4 linked regions of the Oryctolagus cuniculus genome follow. The protein of the gene in region 2 purifies or fractionates together with the protein of the main gene of each other region. This does not show direct contact. Links are inferred from orthologs where the notes say so. Each region holds a gene or a part of one and is shown on either strand. Other genes may lie near its edges.

The links. The genes of interacting proteins can lie anywhere in the genome.
Region 1: the proteins of RBBP4 (region 2) and SUDS3 purify together in Homo sapiens (affinity purification with mass spectrometry; 5 studies listed by BioGRID and IntAct, with this or other methods). This does not show direct contact. The link is inferred for Oryctolagus cuniculus from reciprocal best matches to the Homo sapiens genes RBBP4 and SUDS3.
Region 3: the proteins of RBBP4 (region 2) and SIN3A purify together in Homo sapiens (affinity purification with mass spectrometry; 11 studies listed by BioGRID and IntAct, with this or other methods). This does not show direct contact. The link is inferred for Oryctolagus cuniculus from reciprocal best matches to the Homo sapiens genes RBBP4 and SIN3A.
Region 4: the proteins of RBBP4 (region 2) and BRMS1L purify together in Homo sapiens (affinity purification with mass spectrometry; 5 studies listed by BioGRID and IntAct, with this or other methods). This does not show direct contact. The link is inferred for Oryctolagus cuniculus from reciprocal best matches to the Homo sapiens genes RBBP4 and BRMS1L.

The regions. Positions count from the first base shown.
Region 1 is NC_091452.1:14,520,661-14,526,752, reverse strand, and holds the start of SUDS3 (sin3 histone deacetylase corepressor complex component SDS3), read right to left. Parts: upstream 3,676-6,092; 5' UTR 3,496-3,675; coding exon 3,318-3,495; intron 2,506-3,317; exon of another isoform or gene 2,433-2,505; intron 1,301-2,432; coding exon 1,231-1,300; intron 1-1,230.
Region 2 is NC_091438.1:139,884,862-139,890,244, reverse strand, and holds part of RBBP4 (histone-binding protein RBBP4), read left to right. Parts: intron 1-3,812; coding exon 3,813-3,958; intron 3,959-5,383. UniProt on the Homo sapiens protein: Core histone-binding subunit that may target chromatin assembly factors, chromatin remodeling factors and histone deacetylases to their histone substrates in a manner that is regulated by nucleosomal DNA.
Region 3 is NC_091443.1:108,520,581-108,526,597, forward strand, and holds the start of SIN3A (paired amphipathic helix protein Sin3a), read left to right. Parts: upstream 1-2,342; 5' UTR 2,343-2,365; intron 2,366-2,464; exon of another isoform or gene 2,465-2,489; intron 2,490-5,287; exon of another isoform or gene 5,288-5,629; intron 5,630-6,017. UniProt on the Homo sapiens protein: Acts as a transcriptional repressor. Corepressor for REST. Interacts with MXI1 to repress MYC responsive genes and antagonize MYC oncogenic activities. Also interacts with MXD1-MAX heterodimers to repress transcription by tethering SIN3A to DNA.
Region 4 is NC_091443.1:39,764,526-39,770,544, forward strand, and holds the start of BRMS1L (breast cancer metastasis-suppressor 1-like protein), read right to left. Parts: upstream 3,676-6,019; 5' UTR 3,250-3,675; coding exon 3,108-3,249; intron 1-3,107. UniProt on the Homo sapiens protein: Involved in the histone deacetylase (HDAC1)-dependent transcriptional repression activity. When overexpressed in lung cancer cell line that lacks p53/TP53 expression, inhibits cell growth.

The sequences.
Region 1 (6,092 bases), on a different chromosome or scaffold from region 2:
CCAAAAAAAAGAGTTTAAGTCAAGATCTTCCAATTACATTCAACAAACACTTACTGAAACACTTAACACTATCTCCCATTTAAGCCTACAATAAAAGTGCGTGGGGTTTCACTTCTCTGGCCATGTTTGGCTGTGGCTGTGTGTGAAGACAATGAGAAGGCCGGGCTGAGGATGGGCGTGAACGCGGACAGAGCCCGGGCTCCAAGCTCTCACATACTGTCCAGCATGTCGTCGGCTCTCATGGATTCATGCCCTTCAGAGAACCCAGGTGCTTGAAGAAACCTGAGCACTGATTTTTCACATCCAAAAAAATGAAGAGCAATGCCATAAAGTTATCTGCTGTTTTAAACGCCCTTGTTATCTATTTCTACTAGGCTGTCACAAAACACACCAGACACCGGAGTAAGGAAAAGGGTTTATTGGGGAAAACCCAACAGACCAGAGGGGTGGGGTAGCGAAGGGAAAAAGGGCAGCTTGTCTGGGAAGGGGGTCTAATATACCTTTTCCAGAGGGCGGGCAGTGAGGTAGGAATTGGCCAATCCCATTAGGTTGAGGGTGGAGCTTGGCACAGGTAGTTTGGGCCATGTGGCTACCTGGCTTTCAGCTATGGCGGTGGGAACCGGGGTATAGAATGTAAATCAGGTGTAGATCGTGCCACAGATAAGACTGTGCCTGCGCCATTTTCCTAACAGCCCTTATTCTCTCTCCCTTGATCATTTCCTTCAAAGTTCTTCGTAGCCTACCCTCAAGAGTCTTTTTTTTTAACAGATAGAGTTAGACAGTGAGAGAGGAGACAGAGATAAAGATCTTCCTTCCGTTGATTCACCCCCAAATGGCTGCTGTGGCCGGCGCTGTGCCGATCCGAAGCCAGGAGCCAGGTGCTTCCTCCTGGTCTCCCATGGGGTGCAGGGCCCAAGCACTTGGGCTATCCTCCACTGCCTTCCCGGGCCACAGCAGAGAGCTGGACTGGAAGAGGAGCAACCGGAACTAGAACCCAGCGCTCATATGGGATGCCGGCAGCGCAGGCGGAGGATTAACCAAGTGAGCCATGACGCTGGCCCCTCAAGAGTCTTAGAAGAGGAAGATGAATGAAACATGACTCATTTGGAGGTGGGAACAGCACACATTCGCATGGTCTTTGGAAGTACTGTAGTTCAAAATAATTCATGAGGTCAAGTCCAGATTCTACTGCTAGTTCCACGTCCCACAGAAGAAAGACAAATCACTCACTGCTCCTTCACTTCCACGTAGTCCTCTTCCTCATGCTTGGCCAGGTCAGTCTCACTAGCATCCTCGGTGTCTGAAGAGAAACACGCAAGGCGGCTTGGTTACAATCGTGACTCGTACAGCTGGCACAGGGCAAGCACTTCCTAAACTCCTGCAAGACGAACTCTACTTAACACACGCTTGCATGAAGCCACCAACAAGAAACAGTGACTATACTTACTTCAGAAAATAAAGCGCCGTTCCCCACTTACACAGTTCACACAAAGAGCTTGCCTATCTGAAGCCCAGCCGGAGAGTAGGGTGCCCGAGACGCCGGTGGCCACGGTCAGCTCTGCTGCGTCTGCAGAGGCGGCCACAGTGGCAGCTCAGCAAAGACGGGGACCCAAGACCGGACACAGCACACAGCCAAGCCCTACTGCTCCCAAACACACAACACGGTACAACCTAGGCAGGGGCTCACATCCCTGCAGTGCCTGGGTTCAATTCCTGGCCGCCGCTTCCTGCCAGGGCACACCCTAGGAGGCAGAAGGCGATGGCTCAAGTATCCGGGTCCCTGTCACCCACGTAGGAGACGCAGACTGAGTTCCCCGCTCCCATCTGGCCCAGCCCTGGCACTGTGGGCATCCGCGTAGTGACCCAACAAGGAAGAGCTCTCTGCCTCTTGAAACACAAGAAAACACCCAGTGCAAGCTGAGTTTTGTTTATCCAAAACGCCTGTGACCCAAAGTGCTGGGAACCGTGTTTTACTTGGGGATATTTGCATGGACTTTACGAGTTCAACATCCCTAAGCCAGAAGCCCAAAATCCGAACCTTGCTGGGCATGACGGGCACTTGAAAAGTTCTGGATTTTGGGTTTTCGGATTACAGATGCTCAGCCTGTGTGTGCACTGCCCCGTCGGGGCCCTCCACGCATTTTACATCAGATACAGCTGAGGAACTCCTAAAAGTTCATGGAAAACAATTAAAGGAACCTTTATTTGGCACACAAACATTTTTTTCAGTTCCACACATATAACAAAGGTGAATTCTACAGAACACACTGAACTCTAATAACAGATCTTCCCAAAGCTATAACTAAAGTGAACAACCAAACACCAAGTTCATGTGATTGGGGGGGGGGGGGGGGGCTCAATTTTGGTTTCACAGCTCCACCTGGTGGACACGAAAAGCAGCACAAGCAACTCCGATTCCCAGTCCGGCTCACCCTTGCCTCCAAGCTTCTCTAAATCCAACGCAGTTTCTTCAACTTCGCGTCCCGCACAAGCAGCTGGCCGCCTTGCTCCTTCATTCTAGAGAGTTCCCTGCACCGGCCCCATTCACTACCGGGCCCGCGGGAGGCCGAGCTGCATCCCACCCCCCGCACCCCAGCCGGCGGGGGCAGCCTCTCCCTCCGGCCTCTCTCGCACCCTTTGACCTTTCCTTGTCCCCCCACCCCGACCCCGACCCCGACCCCGCCCCAATCCTCCAAAAACAGCCCGGGCTGCATACATCCTACAAAGCTTAGCCCTGGACCTGAAACCCAGAGCTCTGAGCCGGAGGGACCACGAGTAGGAGCACTCGGCGCCGCAAACACACCGGGGCGGCCATGCAGCAAATGCGTCTCGCCCTCGGCTTCCCGGGGAGGCGCAGACGCTGCGAGCCGGTGACCCGGCAGAGCACGGGCTGCTCGCTACCTCGCCGACTCCTCACGCCCACCCGGGGCGGCCCGGGGGCACAGCGCCCACCTGCACCTGCACCTGCACCTGCACCGGGCCGGCGGCAGCTCCCGCTCGGCCTCCCACCCCCGCGCCCCGGGAAGCCACGCCGGGCGCTCGTCGCGTTCTCTCGATGACGAAAAGGAACATTAGTGCACTCCACGGGCGGCCGTCCCGTTCCGCCCGGAGAGGGCCGAGGGGCAGCCACAGACGGTTGGGGGGTGGGGTGCCGGAGTCTTAAAGGGCCCTCCCGCTCTGACGACTTGGAAGTCCCCTCTCCTCGTAGCCACCGGGGTACCACGCACCCACGGCTCCGCGCCTCCCCCGCACGTGTGGCGGCGACCCCCACCCCAGGCCGCGCCCCGCCCCGACGCCCCCATCCCCAGCGCTCTCACCCCCGCCCCGCGCTGTCCGGCGGGCTGGGGTCGCACCTTCGTCCGACTCGCGGCCCCGACAGCTGCGTTCGTCCTCCTCGGCGCTCTCCAGCTCCTCTTCCTCCTCAGGGTAGTACTCCGGGGCCGGCGGCGCTCCAGCCGGGGCCGGGGCCGGAGCCAGCAGCCCCGCGGCACTCATGCCGCCTCTGACCGCAGCTGAGCGTGCCCGGAGGAGACCGCGGCCACCCGCCCTGCGGGCCGGACGTCCGCGGAACTGCGCCCGACCGACTCCCCGACTCGAAGAGCGGGAGCCCGGGCGACCCCTTCCCCGTCTCCGCCGAGCTCCGCCCCCCGCGCCCGCGCTCGGCAACGGGGACCTCGCACCGAAGGCGACTTCCGGGTCGCGGGCTGCCCGACGACGGCCTGACTCCGCCATTCTCGAACGGCTGGAAAGGCCGACAGACGCCTCCTTCGCCGTGAGCCCAGCACCTTCATCGCCGTCTTAAAATCCTCGACGGGTGGCAGAGGAGGGGCGCGGGCCGGCTCTTTGGAGTCAGGCAAATCCACGGGCAGCCCTAGCCGCGGCCAGGACCCCATCGTTCACGGGAGGCTTCCGGAAACAGCCGCCAGGCGGCGCCCGCGGCCACAACGAAGCGAGGGCCGCCGGCGACCTGAGGGGCGGAGGGGTTAGAGGGCCGGCGGCAGGTGGACGTGCTGGACCGTCCTCCTAATAGGGCGGGAAGTCTACACGTCCAGAGTACGTGGTCATGCAGGAAAAGGGAGGTGGCCCCTCCCCGAAGTGGAACGTTATTAAGAATTGAAATAAAGATTAAAATGCAGGTAGCCCATGGTACGGTCATCAGGCCGGTAAAAAAAAAAAAAAAAAAAAAAAAACTAGACCGGCCACTTGCTTTTAAAAACATGGTAGCGTCCAGTCTGCTTTCTGTAGACCGCAGATCCAGGCCCTCCAGAGCACAGCTGCCTCGCATGGCCGCCGATGTTAACGTTTTCACGGTGTTTCCGCCGACCCAGTAGCTTTCCAACCAACTACAGCTGGGCACGGCCCCACAGAGGGAGAATCTGGGTCCCGGAAGAAAGACCCGGGCTGAAGACAGGCGCCTGGATTACCGGGCGGCTCAGCCAGCGGACGCAGGCGCCCTGGGCTGGGGAACACACCGTCCGCCCGGTGTGCGTGCGTAGGGAGAAAGGGATGCAGCTCCCACGTTTGATGGTTTGTGCCAAGTGACCCCGCTCTTCAGGCGGCTCCCACGTCTGCACAGAGCAAGGAGCAAGCAGGGAAGCTGACCCAGGAGTTCGGCCACAGCCCGGGGCCCGAGCGCCGGTTCCAGACACGGCTGCTCCACTTCCCATCCAGCTCTCCGCTGTGGCCTGGGAAAGCAGTGGAGGATGGCCTAAGTCCTTGGTTCCCTGCACCCGCATGGGAGACCTGGAAGAAGCTCCCAGTTCCTGGCTTCGGATCGGCCCAGCTGTGGCTGTTGCGGCCATTTGGGGAGTGAACCAGCAGGTGGAAAACCTCCCTCCATCTCCCCTTCTCCTCCCTGTATCTCTGCCTCTTAAACGAATACACAAATCCTAGAAAAAAGAAAAAAGGTAAAGCCGACCAGAAATGTGGGAGCCGGGCAGGAGCTTGCGTTCTGGTTCCGTGATCCTCTGTGGCCTGGGTGGAGTTGGTTTGGGTATGTCCTGTGGACCACCTTGTTTTATTCAAATCTGTTCCGTCTTTGAGAGGGATTTTTTCCTCCCAACAAAACCCGAGAATTTGCAGAATGGAACCTTGCAGTGTCTTCCAGGAGTTCGTGGATCTTCAGAGACTCCTTCTAAACAAGGGGCACTCGGGCTCACTGTGCTTCTGCCGTCCAGGACTGGCTCGTCCAGAGGAGGAAGCCATTGTCCTCTCCTGTGCTGTGCTTCCTATCTGAATTATTTGTAATCAGCTCTCTTGAGCAGCCTGAGTCCCTGTCAGCATCCATGGGTTAGAAATCAGGGTTCAGCCGGCGCCGCGGCTCAATAGGCTAATCCTCCGCCTAGCAGCGCCGGCACACCGGGTTCTAGTCCCGGTTGGGGCGCCGGATTCTGTCCTGGTTGCCCCTCTTCCAGGCCAGCTCTCTGCTGTGGCCCGGGAGTGCAGTGGAGGATGGCCCAAGTGCTTGGGCCCTGCACCCCATGAGAGACCAGGAGAAGCACCTGGCTCCTGCCATCGGATCAGTGCGGTGTGTCGGCCGCAGTGCGCCAGCTGTGGCGGCCATTGGAGGGTGAACCAATGGCAAAGGAAGACCTTTCTCTCTCTGTCTCTCTCTCTCACTGTCCACTCTGCCTGTCAAAAAAAAAAAGAAAAAAGAAATCAGGGTTCACTGGTATCATGAAGCCCCCCCACCAAAGGTCAGTTTTGCTGCTACATGGTTTCCTTGCAAGATGCTGGGATGTTTATGGTTTATTTCCATCTCCTTGATTGCAAACAGCAGCTGTTAATGGTTATGCATTTATTTTTTTCTATGTAACGAACAGAGACAATGGAACTCTTGGGTGCTGAAGAGTGTCCCCATTTCTCATACCCAGATTCCCAATGGCAGAACGGGCAGGATAAGTCCCTAACAAGTAAATACTCCTCAATGAGGCGAACGACCCACAGCCTTAGCCGTCGATTTTTATAGTAAAACGCAAATTTACTCAAAGCCGGGTTCTCCCTCCTTAGAATCTTTGGTTCCTTCCTAAAGGGCCTCTCAGCCAAGCTGCTCAGTGGCAGAAAGGCCCCCTCCCCCACCTCTGGCCCCTGCA
Region 2 (5,383 bases):
GAACTCAATCCAGGTCTCCCACACAGGTGGCAGGAACCCACTCACCTGAGCCATCACCACTAGGAGCCATTGCCTCCTATGGTATGCACTTACAGAAAGCTGAGACTCGAAACCAGGCATTCTGATATAGATGCCAGTATCCCAACCTGTGCCTTAACTGTTGTGCCAAATGCCAGCCCCTTTCTGTCTTTCTGTGTAAGATGGATGTTCTCGGCATTGTTTGTCAATTCTGTGTGAAGGGGTATTTCTCAACCTAACTTCTGAGCTCTTGATTTTTTTCCAGCTGCCTTTTAGTGTCGTCTTTGGAGTATTTTACTGGCTTCCCTAACTTGATATGTTCCAAACTGAATAATTCCTTCCACTGAGGTCCCACTTCAGTTTATCTTATTTTTGTCATAGTTGGCTTTGGTTGGACATTCTTAGGTTTTAGCTTTTATCCACTTGACAGGCAGTTGATTTATAAGCCGTAATGAATTCTACTTGCGCAGCATCTTCCCCAGGTAGACCAGGGATTCTCAAATTCTAATATGCATCATGATCAGCTGAAAATGGAAAACATTGTTGTGCCCCACACCAGAGTTTCTGATTCAGTAAGTCTGGGGTGGATCTAAGAATTTTTTTTTTTAATTGGCACAGAAAGAGACAAAGAGATCTTATCTGCTGAGATACTCAAATGCCTTCAGTAGTTGGGGCTGGGCCAGGCTAAATCCAGGTCTCCCACATCAGTGGCGTGGACTCCAGTACTTGAGCTGTCACCTGCTGCCTCCCAGGGTACACATTAGCAAAAAGCTATATTGGAAGTGAGGAGGGCACTCACACCCAGACACTCTGCTCCTGTATGGCATGCCAGCTGCCTAACTGGCCTATTAAAAGCTTTACCAAATGCCTGCCCCTGTATTTCTAACCAAAGTTCCCAGGTAATGCTGATGGTATTGGTCCTGGCACCACAGTAGAAGAACCTCTGCTTTGGGGGAGTGTGGTGCAGAAGGTTAAACTGCCAATTGGTGTCCAGTCCCATATCAGAGTTTGAGTTCAAGTCCTTGCTACTTGACATCCAATCCAGCTTCCTGCTAGTGTACTCTGGGAAGCAGAGTGAATCATGGCTCAAGAGGTTGGGCCTCTGCCACTCATATGGGAGACCTGGGTAGTTCGAGCTCCTGGCTTCAACCTGACCCAGACCTGGCTGAAGCCATTTGGTTGTGAGCCAGCAGAGGGAAGGTGAGGGGGTCGTGGCAAGGTGGCAGGGGCCCATGTGCTTTGACCATCTTCCATTTTGCTGCTTTCCCAGGCATATTAGGAAGCCAGCTGGCGCCGTGGCCCAACAGGCTAATCCTCTGCCTAGTGGCGCCTGCATACCGGGTTCTAGTCCCGGTCGGGGCGCCGGATTCTGTCCCGGTTGCCCCTCTTCCAGGCCAGCTCTCTGCTATGGCCCGGGAAGGCAGTGGAGGATGGCCCAAGTGCTTGGGCCCTGCACCCCATGGGAGACCAGGAGAAGCACCTGGCTCCTGGCTTCGGATCAGCGCGGTGCGCCGGCTGTGGCGGCCATTGGAGGGTGAACCAACGGCAAAGGAAGACCTTTCTCTCTATCACTATCCACTCTGCCTGTCAAAAAAAAAAGGGGGGGGGGGAAGCTGGATCAGAAGCAGAATAGCTGGGACACCAACTGGCACTCCAATATGGGAGCTGCACCACAGCATAGCCCCTTAAGTTAGAAAAAAGTGCTTGGAGGGGCTGGCACTGTGGCGTAGCAGGTTAAGCCTCTGCCTGGCGACTGGCATCCTATATGGTGCCGATTTGAGTCGTCTTGGCTGCTTCACTTCCAGTATAGCTCCCTGCTAATGTGCCTGGGTAAGCAGCAGATCGCCTTGGGCCCCTGTACCCATGTGGGAGACTTGGAAGAAGCTCCTGGTTCAGCCCTGGCCGTTGTGGCCATTTGGGGAGTGAACCGGTAGATGGAAGATTGGTTTCTGTATGTGTGTGTGTCTGCCTTTCAAATAAATAAATCTTTTTTTAAATACTTGGAAAATTTAACTTATGTGGTTCTTATACTCAGCTGTATGGAAGATGCATTAAAAGTAGAAAACAGGGGGGCCGGTGCTGTGGCACAATGGGTTAACGCCCTGGCCTGAAATGCCGGCATCCCATATGGGCGCCGGTTCGAGACCCTGCTGCTCCTCTTCCGATCCGGCTCTCTGCTGTGGCCTGGGAAGGCAGTGCAGGATGGCCCAAGTCCTTGGGCCCCTGCGCCCACGTGGGAGACCTGGAGGAACCTCCTGGCTCCTGCCTTCGGATTGGTGCAGCTCTGGCCGTTGTGGCCAATTGGGGAGAAAACCATCAGATGGAAGACCTCTCTCTCTCTCTCTCTCTGTATCTCCTCTCTCTGTGTAACTCTGACTTTCAGATAAATAAATAAATCTTAAAACATTTAAAAAAAAAAAAAGTAGAAAACAGGGGCAGGCATTTGGTCTAGCAGTTAAGACACCTGTATCTCACTTTGAAATTCTCTGGGTTCAATACCCAGTTCTGGCTCCAGCATCAGCTGGGAGAGAGGCAGCATTAATGGCTCAAGCGATTGGGTTCTTGCCACCCATGTGGGAGGCCTAGAATGAGTTTACAGCTCCCAGCCTCAGCACAGCTCCACCGTGAGCATTTGAGAAGTAAGCCAGTGGGTGGGAGTTCTGTGTGTGTGTGTCTCTGCCTCTAAAGGAGAATGGAAGCAGGCACAGGGCATAGCAGTTGAGATGCCACTTATCCCTTGTCAGAATGCCTGGGTTCAACTTCTGCTGTGATGTCAATTCCAACTTCTGCTCATGTGCTTCTTGAGATGTAGTATGTGATGGCTTAAGTAGTTGGGTCCCAGATACCCAGGTCAGAAACTTGAATTGAGTTCTTGGTTTCCCCAGTTTTGGCTTAGCTTAACACTGGTTGTTGTGGGTACTTGGGGAGTGAACCAGCAGATGGGAGATTGATACTGATATATCTTTCTCTGCCTCTGCCTCTCAAATTAGTTTCTGAAAATGTTAATTTTTTAAAAAATTTATTTGAAAGTTGTTAGAGTTACACATAGAAGGAGAGGCAGAGGGAGGGAGAGGTTTTTCATCTACTGGTTTACTCCCCAATTTGCTGCAACGGCTGGAGCTGTGCTCATTTGAAGCCGGGAGCTTTTTCCTGGTCTCCCACGCGGGTGCATGGGCCCATTGAGTTGGGCCATCTGCTGCTTTCTCAGGTCATAGCAGAGAGCTGGATCAGAAGAGGAGCAGCCAGGACTTGAACCGGCACCCATGTGGGATGCCAGCACTGCAGGTGGCAGCTTTACCTGCTACGCCACAGCACTGGCCCCAAGGGTTTTGGAAAATAGGGAGCAGTTTTTTAGCCTGGTAGTTGAGATACCCATGTTCCACACTGAAGTGCATGGGTTCAATTCCTGATTCCAGCTTCCTGCCAGTGTGTGCAGTGGTGACAGCGCAAATAATTGGGTTCCTGCCACGCACATGGGAGTTCTGGATTGAGTTCCCAGCTTTTAAATTCAGCCCTGCCCTAACAACCCCAGCTGTTGGAGGCGTTTGGAGAGTAAACCAGCAGATGGGAGTGTGTTCACTGACGCCCTCCCCCATCTCTCCCTTGTTTTTCCTCTGTCCCTGTGGCTCTCAAAAGAGGGAAAAAAAAAAAGTGAAAAAGGTCAGAAATAAGGCTCTTAATGACTTTCTGCTCTGAAAACTTGGTTGTAATAGTGCCCTATTGTGTACATTTATGTCTGTGTGATCTCTCTTGGTGTTACTTACTTGAATAGTAACCATATATTGATATTACAGACCAGAAGGAAAAGATTTCAGCATTCATCGACTTGTCCTGGGGACACATACGTCGGATGAACAAAACCACCTTGTGATAGCCAGTGTGCAGCTCCCTAATGATGATGCGCAGTTTGATGCCTCACACTACGACAGTGAGAAAGGAGGTAGGAATCTTAAAGGTGAAAAAAGTAACCAGTTTTAGCTTTCATATCTTTGAATTACCATAAAAGGAATATGCAATTTGATAAGGTAACTTTTCAAGTTAGAAGCAACATTTAAGCTAGGGGAAAAAAACATGTTTGTTATAAAAAAAATATTAACATGTACTTGATTGTGTACCTTTGTTATACACTTTTCTTTACCAAAGGGCAGGGGCAGTGTTTGTATAATTGAAAGAAGCAAATAACAGCCATATCTTATTGGCTGTGTCCGCTTACGGATGAGGGGTTGCCCTTGAAGAGGTGAAGATTTGCTTGTGGGTGTGAGTAGATATAAGCAGTCTTACTTTTTGTATGAATCAAGCAATCAAGCACAGGTACAGAGGCAGATGTTGTACAGTATGTTGAGCTGTGTCTTGGGTTACCCCATCCCAAACTAGAGTGCCTGCTTGAAGTACTGGCTACCTTGTGCTTCCAATCCAGCTTCTTACTAATGTGCCTGGGAGGCAGCAGGTGATGGCCCAAGTATTTGAGTTTCTGCCACCAAATGAGACACAGATGCAGCTCATGGCTGATGAGGGCTTTTGGTGAGTGAACCAGCAGATGAAAGATAAGTCTCTGCCTCTGTTTCTGTCACACTGCCTTTCAAATAAATCAACCTAAAAAAGGAAACATACATAGGGTATATAAACAGGCATCAAGAAACATGGGTCTGAATTACCCTTGCTATGTGTGATTGGTAGCAATCACTTAACTGTGGCACTCACTGTGTATATAAAGTTAAATTTCAGTAAGCCATTTATGTCCTATTTTTAGGAAATACCCTAAAGGTTTAAATGCTCTTGAAATGCTTACTCCTTCCTTTACAGGAGTGGGAATTGGTGTTTCTTTTATTAACATCAAAGTCAAAATCTTTGTTTGTTTGCATGCCATCCTTCAAATCAGTTTTATTCTCTGAAGGGACGGGACACCAAAGATAAGTTTTTTATAGATGGCCAATAGCCTACAGTGGGGACCAAATGCCCATCCCTATCATATCATTTGTAACATTGTAAATTGCATTACTCTTGTCATTTATCCACTATTCAAAGTCAAAATCTTTAGATAGAAAATGGGGTTCATTATTAAGACTTGAACTGTAAATAATTAATGTTTAATATTTCTAATCTTAGATTTCTCCTGAATAGAATGAATTTTTATATCTTTAAGTTACTTACCATGATTGTAATTGTATTTTTTGGTGGTCTTGGGTTGAGTGTGTTTTGTCTTTTTGTTTTTTACATACTTGTTTGAGTGACAGGCTGAGAGGGAGAAAAACACAGCTCTTCCATCCAGTGGGTCAGTCCCCACATGACCACAACAGATGGGACTAGGCCAGGCCAAAGCTAGGAGCCTGAAACTCAATCCAGGTCTCCCACTTGAGTGGTAGGG
Region 3 (6,017 bases), on a different chromosome or scaffold from region 2:
GGAGAGGGGATGGTGGCCCTGAACCCGAGTACACTCAACGCCACGGCTCACGACAGCCCAGGGGCTGCGCACGGGAAACGGAAGCTCCTCCCCCTCCAAGAAATGCTGACCCAGGATCCTGGCCGGAGCTGGAGCGCTTGCCATGAGCACAGGGGTTGCTGTCGGTGGGGCGGGGCGGGGCGCCGGCCTCACAGCCCCCTCGCCTTGCTATTCCTGAGCCACCACGCTGGCCATCGGTATCCATCAGCCAAGCCACTGAAATGCGGGCCCTGTGCCTCCCCATCACTGCCCGCCCCAAGCACCCCGAGAAGTGAATGAGGGAGTGTGTGATGTCTGTGTTGTGAGACACACGCCTGTGACCGGAGGCAACTCCGTGCTGCTCTGGGGAGGATTTTTGGGCAAGAGTCAGGAATCAGTCAGCCCTGGCTGCAGACAAGCTGCCCTTGTAGTTGGGGAGCTGAGCAGGGGCGCCCCAGGAGGGCAGGCTGGTTTTCTCCAGAGCCCACGCCCCAGCTGCTGGCCCCCGTCTGCAGAAACAGCACGCGGGGTGGCCCCAGGCGGACCTGCCTTGGGTGCCTGGGTTGCACAAGTCATTCCACTTCTGAGCCTCCTTCCGCTCTGCTCACCTACAAACGAGGATGGCGAGCGGGGCATAGCACACAGGGCAAAATCAGGTCCCCTCCCAAAGAGAAAGGCTGTGCTGTGCGTGGCAACGCGCCGCCGGGGCTCAGAGCAGCCTGGGGCGTTCAGGGGTCCCCGCCGGGGTGGCACTCGGGGCAGTGAGTACGCTGTCCGGCTGCGGATCTGCTGTGTCAGTAACCTCACCCACGGCACACCACCTGCTGCCCAGAGCCTCCCAGGACCTGAGCCACATGCTGGCAGCACCGGGATCCTCCTCGCGGCCGGGGTCGCCGGGTCAGCCTCTTCCCCCAGGCAGGGACCCAGGGACCCAGCGAGAGCCAGGGGGCTCGCGGTGCAGGCCGGCGCCCGCTCTACCCTACCGTTTGCCTCATCTGACGCCGGCACAGCGCAGGAGCACACAGGGCTCATCTCCCGGCTCCCCCTCCTCTCCCCTCCGTGGTCTCCCCAAAGCTGCGGCTCCCCACCTGCCCTCTCTGCTTACAGCCCAGCTTCCCACGTGGACCCTGGGGCCGGGGCGGAGGGTGGGGGTGGCGGCTGGCAGCCTGTCCGCTCCATTTCCCACCCCGTTTCGTGGAGAGGCTCAGGCCCAGGTAGGGGAGACAGGAGCTCGTTTAAGCCTCCGACAACGGCCACGCGAAGCGCAGGGCCGAATTCCGCCAGCCCCGAGCTCCTCCGCCTCACCCCGCCGAGGGCCGCTGGCTCCATTTGCCGCCCACCGCCCACTCCAAATAGCCGCCCTCTCCCCTGAGTCTCTCCAACACTGCTCGCCTTTCTTGCTCGCACGCATCCCCTGGCCGTGCCCTGGTCTAGTGTGCCCCGCCTGAACTACCGGCCCACCGCACGGATCCCTCCGAGCCCCGACCAGCCGGTCTCCCTCGCTCACACCAGGCGCATCCGGCCTCTGCTGAACACAGACCTGCGGGGTGGCCCTGCCCCCTGGAAACTCTTTTCGGTTGGCAATGGAGACCAACAGAGCAAGGGCGGCAGGGCAGAGGCAGGGCAGGCGTCGCAGCACTGTAGCCACCAAACCCAGCGCCTCCCTCCCCTCACTGGGCACACCCCAGAGCCCACCGGCTGCTAGGGCGCTAAGCACCCGACCACACCGGCCTGGGCCTGCGACCGGCTTTTGGTCCAGCTAGGAGACGTCCCGCGGCTTGGGGCCACCTCTGCCACCCTGGTTTCCAGCATCGCAGTCCTCACGCTTTCCACCTGTCCCTTCGTGCCCTTTGCCCCTCCGCTTCTGCCCGGGGCAACCCCTAAGACCCACCTGGCTCGCCGCCGCCTCCACGCGGCTCCGCCGGCTTACCTGCAGCCGGCAGGGCTCTCCTGGGAGCGCCCGGGAGTCGGCCAGTCTGTGCGGGAGCACACTCCCGCCTCGCCTCGGCTCCTGCGGCAGCATCTCCACCGCGCCCGCACGCCCCAGGGCTGGGGTGACTCCCTCGCCGGGCTGCACGCAGGGCTTCCCGCCCGCACCCCTCGTCTCCAGGCGCCCAGCACGGCGGGCCGCCGTCCCGGAGCCCCGCCGCCCGGGACCCTCGAGGCGCCGCCGCGACGGCACCGGGGATCCTCCGCTCCGGGCTCGCCTAATTTATTTATTTGCACGGTTCCCGGAGGGAGGGGCGGGGCGAGCGCGGAGGCGGGCCCTCGGCCGTGACGCAGCGCCGCGGAGCCAATGGCCGGCGGGGGGCGTTCCCCATTCAGCACTCCTCGCCCGGCTCGGAAGGTATGTTAAACAGCTGCTTTCAATTCGGTGCCCCCGGCCCGCGTCCGGGGGGCGGCTCGCCGTGGCCGGCCCGACGCAGAGCGGGCGCGCAGGCCCCGGGGCGGCTCGGAGTCCCGCGGCCGAGGTAGGCGAGGGGCCGGCCCGGAGGGAGGGCGCTCGGCGCCGCCCGCCCGCCCGCCACTGTGTCTCCCGGCCGGGCCGAGCCGTGGGGAGGGGGCGCCAGCGCCGGCCGCGCCGCCTAGTGTTGCCGAGCACTCGGTGTCGGTAGGTTTCGGCGGCGGATTGGGGAGCGGCGAGCCGGAGGAGTCTCCGGCTCCGCTCACGCCTTTTTTTTTTTTTTTAAGAAAAACACACGAAAAGCAGCAAAAAAAAAAAAAAAAAAAAAGGTGGGTGGGGGGCCCTGCGCGCCGACCGGACGCGCTCCGGCAGGCGGGGGGCGGCGGCCGGCCCGGAGTTCCCTCCGCGCGGACTTGCCGGGCGGGCCGGGCTCGCGGCTTCCCTGCGCGCGCAAACTTGCACGAGGGGCGCGGGCGCCCCCGGCCCGGGGCCGCCGCCCTCGCCCCCCGCCGCCTCGCCGCCCGGAGCGGCCGTGAAGGTCGGAACCTGGGGAACTGTCTCCACGCTCGCTCGGGAAGAGGAAACGCATCAGCGGGCGGGAGGCGGGGCGCAGGCGCCGGGCGGGGGCGCGGGCCCGGCCGGCCGGCCGGCCGGCCGGCCTCCGGCCGCGGCCCAGACTGTTTACTACCGACTCCGCCGGCGGCTTGTGCAAGCGGCCCGCAGGGGACACGCGGGGCGGGGCGCCGCCTCGCCGCCCGCCGCCCCGGGCTCCTTGCGGGCCCCGCCTGCTCTTGTCTTCCATTGGCTGCTCGGGACTCCCTCTTTCGCTTCTCGGGCACGGATTGGCTGACATTATCTCGAGCTCCGCCTATAGGGAGGCCGGGCAGGAGTTTAAGTTGCTAGGGTTTTTTTTTTTTTTTTTCCGTGAAGGGCGGAGGGGGGGGCGTCCTGCGGCTACGTGAGGCGCGAGGGCCCGCCCCCGCTCCTGATTGGCTGCGCGCGCGGCCCCGCCCCCGGCGGAGCGAGCCGGGAGGGGAAGTCCGCCCTCGGCCGCGAGCGCGCCCCGCACATGTGTGAGGCCGCCGCGCTGCTCGCGTGCCTCCCGCCCGGAAGTCCCGGCTCCGCGCCCCGCGGGGGGAGGGGGTGGCGAAGGCGCGCTGGGCTGCCCGGCATCCCGCGGCCGGCGGCTTCCGGGTGGCGCTGGGGGCTCTGCGGGCGAGGGTCTGTCCGTCGGGCCGGGGCCGCGCTCTGAAGTTCGGGCCCGGCGGCGTGGCTGTTTCCGCGCGAGAGCGCTGCGGACGCCGGCAGCCGCTGCCCTCGGCGGGCCGGGAGGGGACCCCGGCGCGGGGTCGGGGCGCGGCGCGCGGGGCTGGGCCCGAGCTGCGCCCCCGCCGGGGGGTCGGCTCCCCGCAGTTCCCAGCTCGCAGCCGGCACTCACCTGTTGCCGGAGCTCGCTCCGAGGCTGCGGAGGGAGGGCGGTGTTGGGGTCCCCTCTGCGGGCGAGAGCGGGAAGCCCCGAGCCCCGCCCCCCAAGCAAGGCCACCGGCGGGCCCATGCCCTGTGTGCCGGCACCTGGTCTCGGTGCAGCTTAGCCTTCACGGAGCGGACCTAGGGACTGCCAGGAGCCCACGGTGGCCGAGGTGGACGCCGGCCGCGCCGGCCTCACCGCACGGGGAAGCCCCCGCCCAGAGGGGTCTGACCGCACGCGGGACCCCGGCCCAGAAGGTGTCTCTGCACGCGGGACCCCGGCCCAGAGGGGTCTGACCGCACGCGGGACCCCGGCCCAGAGGGGTCTCTGACCGCACGCGGGACCCCGGCCCAGAGGTGGCCTCTGACCGCACGCGGGACCCCGGCCCAGAGGTGGTCTCTGGCCGCACGCGGGACCCCGGCCCAGAGGGGTCTCTACCGCACGCGGGAGTCCGGCCCAGAGGGGTCTCTGACCGCACGCGGGACCCCGGCCCAGAGGTGGTCTCTGGCCGCACGCGGTACCCCGGCCCAGAAGGTGTCTCTGCACGCGGGAGTCCGGCCCAGAGGGGTCTCTGACCGCACGCGGGACCCCGGCCCAGAAGGTGTCTCTGCACGCGGGACCCCGGCCCAGAGGGGTCTGACCGCACGAGGCACCCCCGCCCACTCCGGTCCCTTCCTCGGTTCCTCCGCTGGCTCTGCCCCCGAGGCGGCCAGGGCGGTGGCCGTCGGGCCGCTTTCAGGGCTGCCCGTTCCGGTCGGGTTTGTGGGCGCAGCTCTGCCCCGGCCGCTGCTAGGCGGCGGCGTGCGACCGCCAGGCCGGAGGCTGAGGTTCGCGGTGAGGGGCGCCCGGGCCCCGGCGCTGCCCCCGGAACTCCGAGCTCGTCTCGGTGTCAACATTCCACCAAAGGACGGCGGGGCGGAATCGCCGGGGGCGGGCCCGGCGCGGCTGTGAGGTGGGAGGCGCCTGCGTCCCGCACGGACACTGTGCCCCACAGCGGCTGCCTTCCTGGGGCGCCGAGAGCCGGAGGTAGCCTTCCGAAACGCTGACCGGCGGAGGCGGGAGCCGACCTGCTCGGCCTGTGGCTGAGACGGCGCGGGGCGGGCCGTGCGGTGTCCTCCAATGAGACGAGAAGAGCTCCCCCGCTTCCGCCAATGGTGTTGCGGCTGGGGGGAGGGACTCGGCAATCCGTCTCCAATAGGCGGGGTTGAGTTAGGGAAGCTCCCCGCCAATAGGGGCGTGGAGAGGGTGAGCGGCTCCCCCTCCCTTCCCCACCGAGAGGGAAGGGGCGGGAAGTCGGCGGGCGGGGCGCAGTAATTGGCTGGCCTTTTGACTGGCGGGCGATGCGTCCTGTGGAGGAGCGAAGCCGAGTCCTCCCTCTGCTGGGCGGGCCGGGGGAGTGGGCGGGATTTCCCGGGTAACAGAGAAGCGGCCGCGGCGGTAGAGGCGGCGGAGACGGTTTCTCCATCTCCCCCTCCCCTTCCCCCCACAGAGTTTCCCTCCTTCCCTCCCTCCCTCCCTCCCAGTCTGGGCAGCCGGGCCTGTGACCGCCTCGGTAGCGGAGCGCAGGCTGCCAGTCCGCTTCGGCGGCCTCTGCCCCGTGCGGCTCTCGGGGCCTCCTGAGCCCGCGGCTCACGCCGAGAGGGACGCGCAGTGACGAGCGGCCCTAGCAGCTTCGCGGTGAGAGCCGGTGGGCCGAGCTCCGGCGGGAACCCGGGCGGCGGGCAGCGCCGGGCCGGAGGGTGTGTATTGGGGGGGCTGACCCCCGCGGCTTCCCGTAGAGCGGGAGGCGTGTGGCTGTGCGAGCGGTGGGGGCGGAGCGGGGCGGCTCGGCGCGGGAGGGGGAGCGCGTAGTCCCGGTGCGCGCGGAGGGGGCGGGCGCTCGCGCGCCGCTCGGGGGCGGGGCCGCGCGCGTGCGGCGGCGGGGAGGGGCGGGGCGGCGGGCGAGCGCCGGGGCGGCCGCGGGGGGCGGGGCCTCGGGCGCGGGCGGGGGTCTCGCGGCTCCTCGGGCCCGGGCGGCCGCGGGCCCTGCCGCGCGGGGCGGCGCCCGGGAAAGCCCGCCGTCGGGCCCGGCCGGGCCGCCCCGCCCTGTGGCCGCGCGGCGCCGGCGGGAGGCCCGGGACTTGGTCG
Region 4 (6,019 bases), on a different chromosome or scaffold from region 2:
ACACAGATAAATGAGGGCAAAACAAGCCAATGTGCTCAGGAAAGCAACCATGAATTACCAGATCTGTCCTATGTTCCACATCTTCTCTTTTCACACCCTACGTACCCAACACATCAAAATGACTGAAGTGCAAAATGATCTGCATTTTGATCTGCATCAAATAAAGGCCAAACTCTGAGAGTTAAATCGTGTTTGGTTATTTTCATACGGCAGGGAAGTATCTGAATCATTTTAAAATTTTTTTCTAAAACACACTAAGAAATATTTTGGTTCCACTAGCTTATTCCTAGGCTATTTAAAACTTGGTTCATCCAGATGACTCACTCCCCACGTTCTCTGGATAGTAGAGGTTTTTCTGTGGACTTAGGATCTGCTCAGTACCAAGGTTTGAAAAGAATAAAATTCTGGAAGTTTAACGTGCGTAATACATGGTAGAATAGAGATGATTTTACAAGAAGCAAAATTGAAAAACACAGCTATAAGTAATTTCTTCGCACTTAAAAATTTTGACTGGTGGTTCAAATTATTAGTTTTCATGGTCTATCCATGATTTTCTGGGCTGAAGTTAAAAACAAATCAAAAATCACAACAGTCAATACAAAAATTATTGGGGGAGAATATTAACAAATAGAGCTGGGGCCAGCTTTGTGGCGCAGTAGGATAAGCCTCAACTTGCAGTGCAGACATTCCATATGGGCTCCAGTTCGAGTCCCGGCTGCTCCACTTCCCAGTCAGCTCCCTGCTAGTGTGCCTGGGAAAGCACTGGAAGATGGTCCAAGGACTTGGGCCCTAAACTAGCATGGGAGAAGAAGCTCCTGGCTCCTTGCTTCAGATGGGCGCAGCTCTGGCCCTTGCAGCCATTTGAGGAGTAAACCAGCAGATGGAAGACCTTTCTCTCTGCCTCTCCCTCTCTCTGTCTGTAACTCTGCCTCTCAAGTAAAATAAATCTTTAAAAATAGAGAGAGAGAGGGGCTGGCGCTGTGGCGTAGCGAGTTAAGCCACCACGGGCAGTGCTGGCATTCCATATGGGTGCTAGTTTGAGTCCCAGCTGCTCCACTTCTGATCCAGCTCTCTGCTGTGGCCTGGGAAAGCAGTGAAAGATGGCCCAAGTCTTTGGGCCCCTGCACCCGCGTGGGAGACCCGGAAGAAACTCCCGGCTCCTGGCTTCGAATGGGCCCAACTCCAGCCTTTGTGGCCAACTGGGGAGTGAACCAGCGGATCGAAGACCTCTCTCTCTCTTTCTCTGCTTTCCTTCTCTCTCTGTGTAACTCTGACTTTCAAATAAATAAATAAATCTTTAAAAAAATAAAGTAATAAAAAATAGAGAGGTAATTATTTGACATCTCAGCTCTCGTTAAAAAAGCTAAGAATACTTGAAGCTGATGCTTTACAGATCTAGGAAATATATTTACATACAGTCCTGATCCTTCTTTCTCTCTGTTCCCCACTTTGAAATCTCACCTACATCAATGGCCAGGCACATGATCTTCCAATTATTCCTCCCACCCCAGGCAGATTCCAAGGCCACATTCCCATCTGCCAGCTGGGCATTCTTGGTTGAATACACACTCCTACTTAAAAGCAACACAACGGAAATACCTTCTCTTTGATCTTCATCTCACATTTTTACTTCTCTCTGTCCACTGATGCTATCACCATTCTCTTGGTATCTTGGGTTTTCTCTTCGCTTCACTCCTAAACGTGCACTCATCAATCCTGTTTTGTCCTTTCTTTTGAGTTTCTTAGCTCAGCCTTCTCCCATACCAAATGGTTTCCTCACTCTTGAGTAAGCGTAAGCTCTGGCCTTTGCACTTTTTCTTACATTCCTTGCCCTCCAGGAGCACCTGAACGTTACCACAGCAGTACAAATCCTACTCATTCTTCAGGATAACCCCATCTGCTTCAACCTGCCTTTGCTGGCCATCAATTCTGAAAAGATTTCCTCTTCGTCTCGATTCCTACAGCAGTTTAGCTAAGCACTCACTTAGCAACTTAATCAAGCGGTAACTTAAGACAGCTCTTTGATTGAGAGAGATCAGAACTAGTTAGACCTCAGACTGAGCTGTGCCCGGTGCTACACAAAGAAGTCACTCATAAATATTTATTTTGGGATTGGGTGATTTATTAATCGAAATGACACCCTTCCATGGAGATTTGCTTTGAAAGGGACACGTGAAAGGGGGCGTTAGGGCGATGATGGACTGTCAAGCTGTCATCAGCGCTTCCTTTATGCGGTCCAAATCAGGCCAAGACAAAGAAACCAGTCTCATCCCCGTAACGGGGACAGAAGGAAAAGAGTCCAGGTAGTCACAGATTCCCTCTCTTTTTTGAGTAGCCATTCCCGAAAGTTTGCAGAATTTATTGATGGGGTTAATCTGCCCTCTCCTCCCCTCTCTTCCCACCCTCAAGCCCTGCCATCACCACCTCCCCCACCGTTACCCCCAAAAGTGAAACAGCCCAAAGTCGGGAAAAGGGGGAGGGAAGAAAAGATTGGGAGCATTTCAATGCTGCCCCCCAAACCAGCCAATTCATAAACAGATGAAGATCCAAACCACCCCGATGGTGTTCCCTTCTTCTCAGCCTTGAAAACTTCAGGGGCATTCTGCAAACGGGACAGCTCCCGAGTTAGCCCCCTGCAAGGGCACTTGGTGGGAAGCGCAGACTGACAGGGGGTTAACCCGTTCCAAGCCGGCCAGGAGCACCTGGGGTCCACCCTGGACCCCCACAATCCACCCACGTTGAGAAGTAGGAGTTGCAAAGGTAAGGGTAAGGAGAGAGGTCGGTGGGCTGCCTCCCACCCGGGCGAGACCCCAGGGCACCGCCGGGAGGTGTCTAGGGCGGCTCCCACCGGGGCTGCTCGGGGGCCGAGCTCCGGGGCTGGGCAAGCCCAGGCCCGCCCCGCCCCGCTGGCCGGGACCCTCCCTGGAGCAGGCAGCGCTGGGCGACCGGTCGGTCTGGGTGCAGCCCTGGGCCGGGAGCCAGTCTCCGCCCCTTCCCTCTCTCCCCGCCCCGCTCTCCCAGCAGGACGCGGCTGCCCGGCGTGCGGAGCGCGGCCTGTCGCGCGCCCGGCCGGGGACTCAGGGTCCCAGCCTTGCTGGGTCGCGCACCTGAGCTATCGCCATCCTCCGAGACCGACGAGCTCTCGGTGTCCTCGTCCTCGGAGCTGCTCCCCTCGTTCTCGGCGTAGTCCACCTCCATCTCATCGTGATGGTTCGTCTCCTTCTTATCCCCCCGGGAATGCACCGGCATTTTCCAGCCGCGCCGTCGCTTCCCACTCGCGGCGCCCAGCCCGGCCACCGCCGCTTCAGTGAAGGGCGCGCCGAACGCCCGGACCCACCCAGCGGCCGAGCTTGCTCTGAACCCCCTCGGCTCCTCCCCGCCCCCGGCCCGGGCCTCACAACCTAACCCGCAGGCTCAGCCCTGGGAGCTCTGCCATTGGCGGAGGCCGAGCTCCAAGGCGGGGGCGGGGTTTGCCCTGCTGGGGCACGATTGGTTGCTGGTAATTACAGCGCGGCCTTGCGGTGCGTGTCGGGAGTTGTAGTCCTCAGAGCGGAGACCTGCAGGGGCTGCCGACTTCCAAGCTTCGACAGCCCGGATCCCTTCTTCTTTCTGGACTTCAAATCCCACAAGGCACGAACGCTGGCACCCTTGATCGCAATTTATAAACTAACCCGAAACAGATTGTGCGAATTTGGTCTGTATGTGTGCTTTTCCCGCCAAGTGAGTGTCTGACCACCCTGGCTATCCAAGACGTTGCTGGCAGATATGAAAGAGTTTTTTGCCTGTAGGGCTCTTTGCCTGCTCTTTGAGCTGCAGAACAGAGAACCGCCTCTTCTAGGAGTCTTTATTACGACTAAGAAAGCGTTACATTGAATAGTTAACTATGCAAGGTAACTTGCACTTTCTGTGTTGCACAAACATCTTTAAAATTGTTCTTGAAACTTTTGCAATTGATAATACAGAAAGAAATTTTGGCTTGGCATTCTCAATCTAGTATTTTTCCATTTATTTTTTACCAAATGCCGTTGGAAGATGCCACTGGTATTGATTTAACTTCACTTTTCAACGAAAACTACGTATGTGACCCAATGAGATGTTATATATTCTCAAGGATAGGGTACACAGACAAGGAAGACTCAGTTCCACAATCACAACTCAAATTAATTGACCATTTTTATTCTGCATCAAATGTCTTGGTAAGCCTGTTGCATGGGCTACCTTGAATTTAGATATCAGTTCAAGAGTCCTAAGCAGGTGCCATTATTATCTTCATTTTGCAGGGAGGGAAATTTCATTTGCAGACAAAACTTAAAACTATATTTTACCCATTATAAAGAAGGGACTTCTTGTTGACACGACAATTTGCTATGGAAATATATTTCATGCAGCATTTCTTCTTTTTTAAATTTTATTTTATTTGAGAAGGGGACGGAGAGAGAGAAAGGGAGGCGGGTGTGTGACTGCCATTCTGTGGTTCACTCTACAAATGCCCACAACAGCTGGGGCTAGGCTAAGCTGAAGCGATGTGCCACGAACTCAATCCAGCTGTCCTGTGTAGATAGCAGGGACCCAACTTCTTGAGGAGTTACCTGCTGCCTCCCAGGATGAACATTAGCAGAAAGCCGAGTGGAAGCAGAGCTGGGACCAGAACCCAGGCACTCCAGCATGGAATGTAGGCATGCAATACAGCATCTTAGCCACTAGGTCAAATGCCTGCCCCAGCATCTATTTCTCAAAAGCCAGATCCCAACATTTGATAGAGGATGGTAAGAGTATCCAGATGTAACTGCATTCGATTTGTAATTTAGTGACAGGAAACATTTCAAGAGCAATCTACCTGCTCCAAAGTAAATCCAGATCAAGGGACTTGATGAAGCATGGGCTTTCTTCTCCCCTTTTCATGATAGCTCCCAAACTGAATTCCTTACATTTCCAAACACACCAGCTGTTTCTCATTTTGCACATTCTAATCCCTCTGCAACCCTCTTCCTCCTCCTCTTTTTTTCTTAAAGTCACTTTTTAAAAAAGATTTATTTATTAGTTGAAAGGCAGAGTTAGAGAGGCAGAGACAAAGAGAGAGTCTTCCATCTGCTGGTTCACTCCCCAAAAGGCCACAAAGGCCGGAGCTGGGCTGATCTGAAACCAGGATCCAGGAGCTTCTTCCAGGTCTCCCACATGGCTGCAGGGGCCCAAGAACTTGGGCCATCTTCCACTGCTTTCCCAGTCCACAGCAGAGAGCTGGATTGGAAGTGGAACAGCTGGGAGTCGAACTGGCTCCCATATGGGATTCTGGCACTACAGGTGGCAGCTTTACCCACTATGCCACAGCGCTGAACCCCAAAGTCACTTTCTTGACAAGAAACATATCACCCCCAACACTTCCACCATTCAGCGTGGACGTGCGTTGTACTTGTTTGCATCACACTGTGCAGAATTGTGAATTATTTAGCAAACGCACCTCACCTATTGGATTGTGGGTTCCTTGAGTGTGGGGGCTGTCATAGCATGAATATAAATTCAAAGGGGAATAACAGATCAGCAGGAAGAGTTAAGAGACAGAAACTATGTGAGTGTGTGGATTACAGGGGCAGCTGCCTTTTTCTCTACCCAGTATCTGCAAATTCTGGTCTGAGGAACTCAGCCCTTCCAATTTTTAAGAGAAAATGGAATTTTGGATCTCTATGGGAAATATCCAGATTGTAAAACATTATTTCAAGAGAAGTTTTTGTTTCATTTTGTTTTGGTTTCTTAAACTCCAGATTAAACAAAAACAGCTGTGGGTAAAATTCCTGGCCTCTGTTAATCTTTGACATATCAGCAGCTAGCAGAGTGTGTTCTAAAAGTAACAATAGCTTAGATTTCTGGTCATTCTTTATGTAAGCATTATTATGTGCTTTTAAAAAACAAACATTCAATGCCACTTTCCTTTAACTTTATAACATTTACATATTTTATTTGAGAGAGGGAGAGAGAGAAAGTGTGCAAGCTCCCATTCACTGGTTCACTTCCCAAAGAAAGA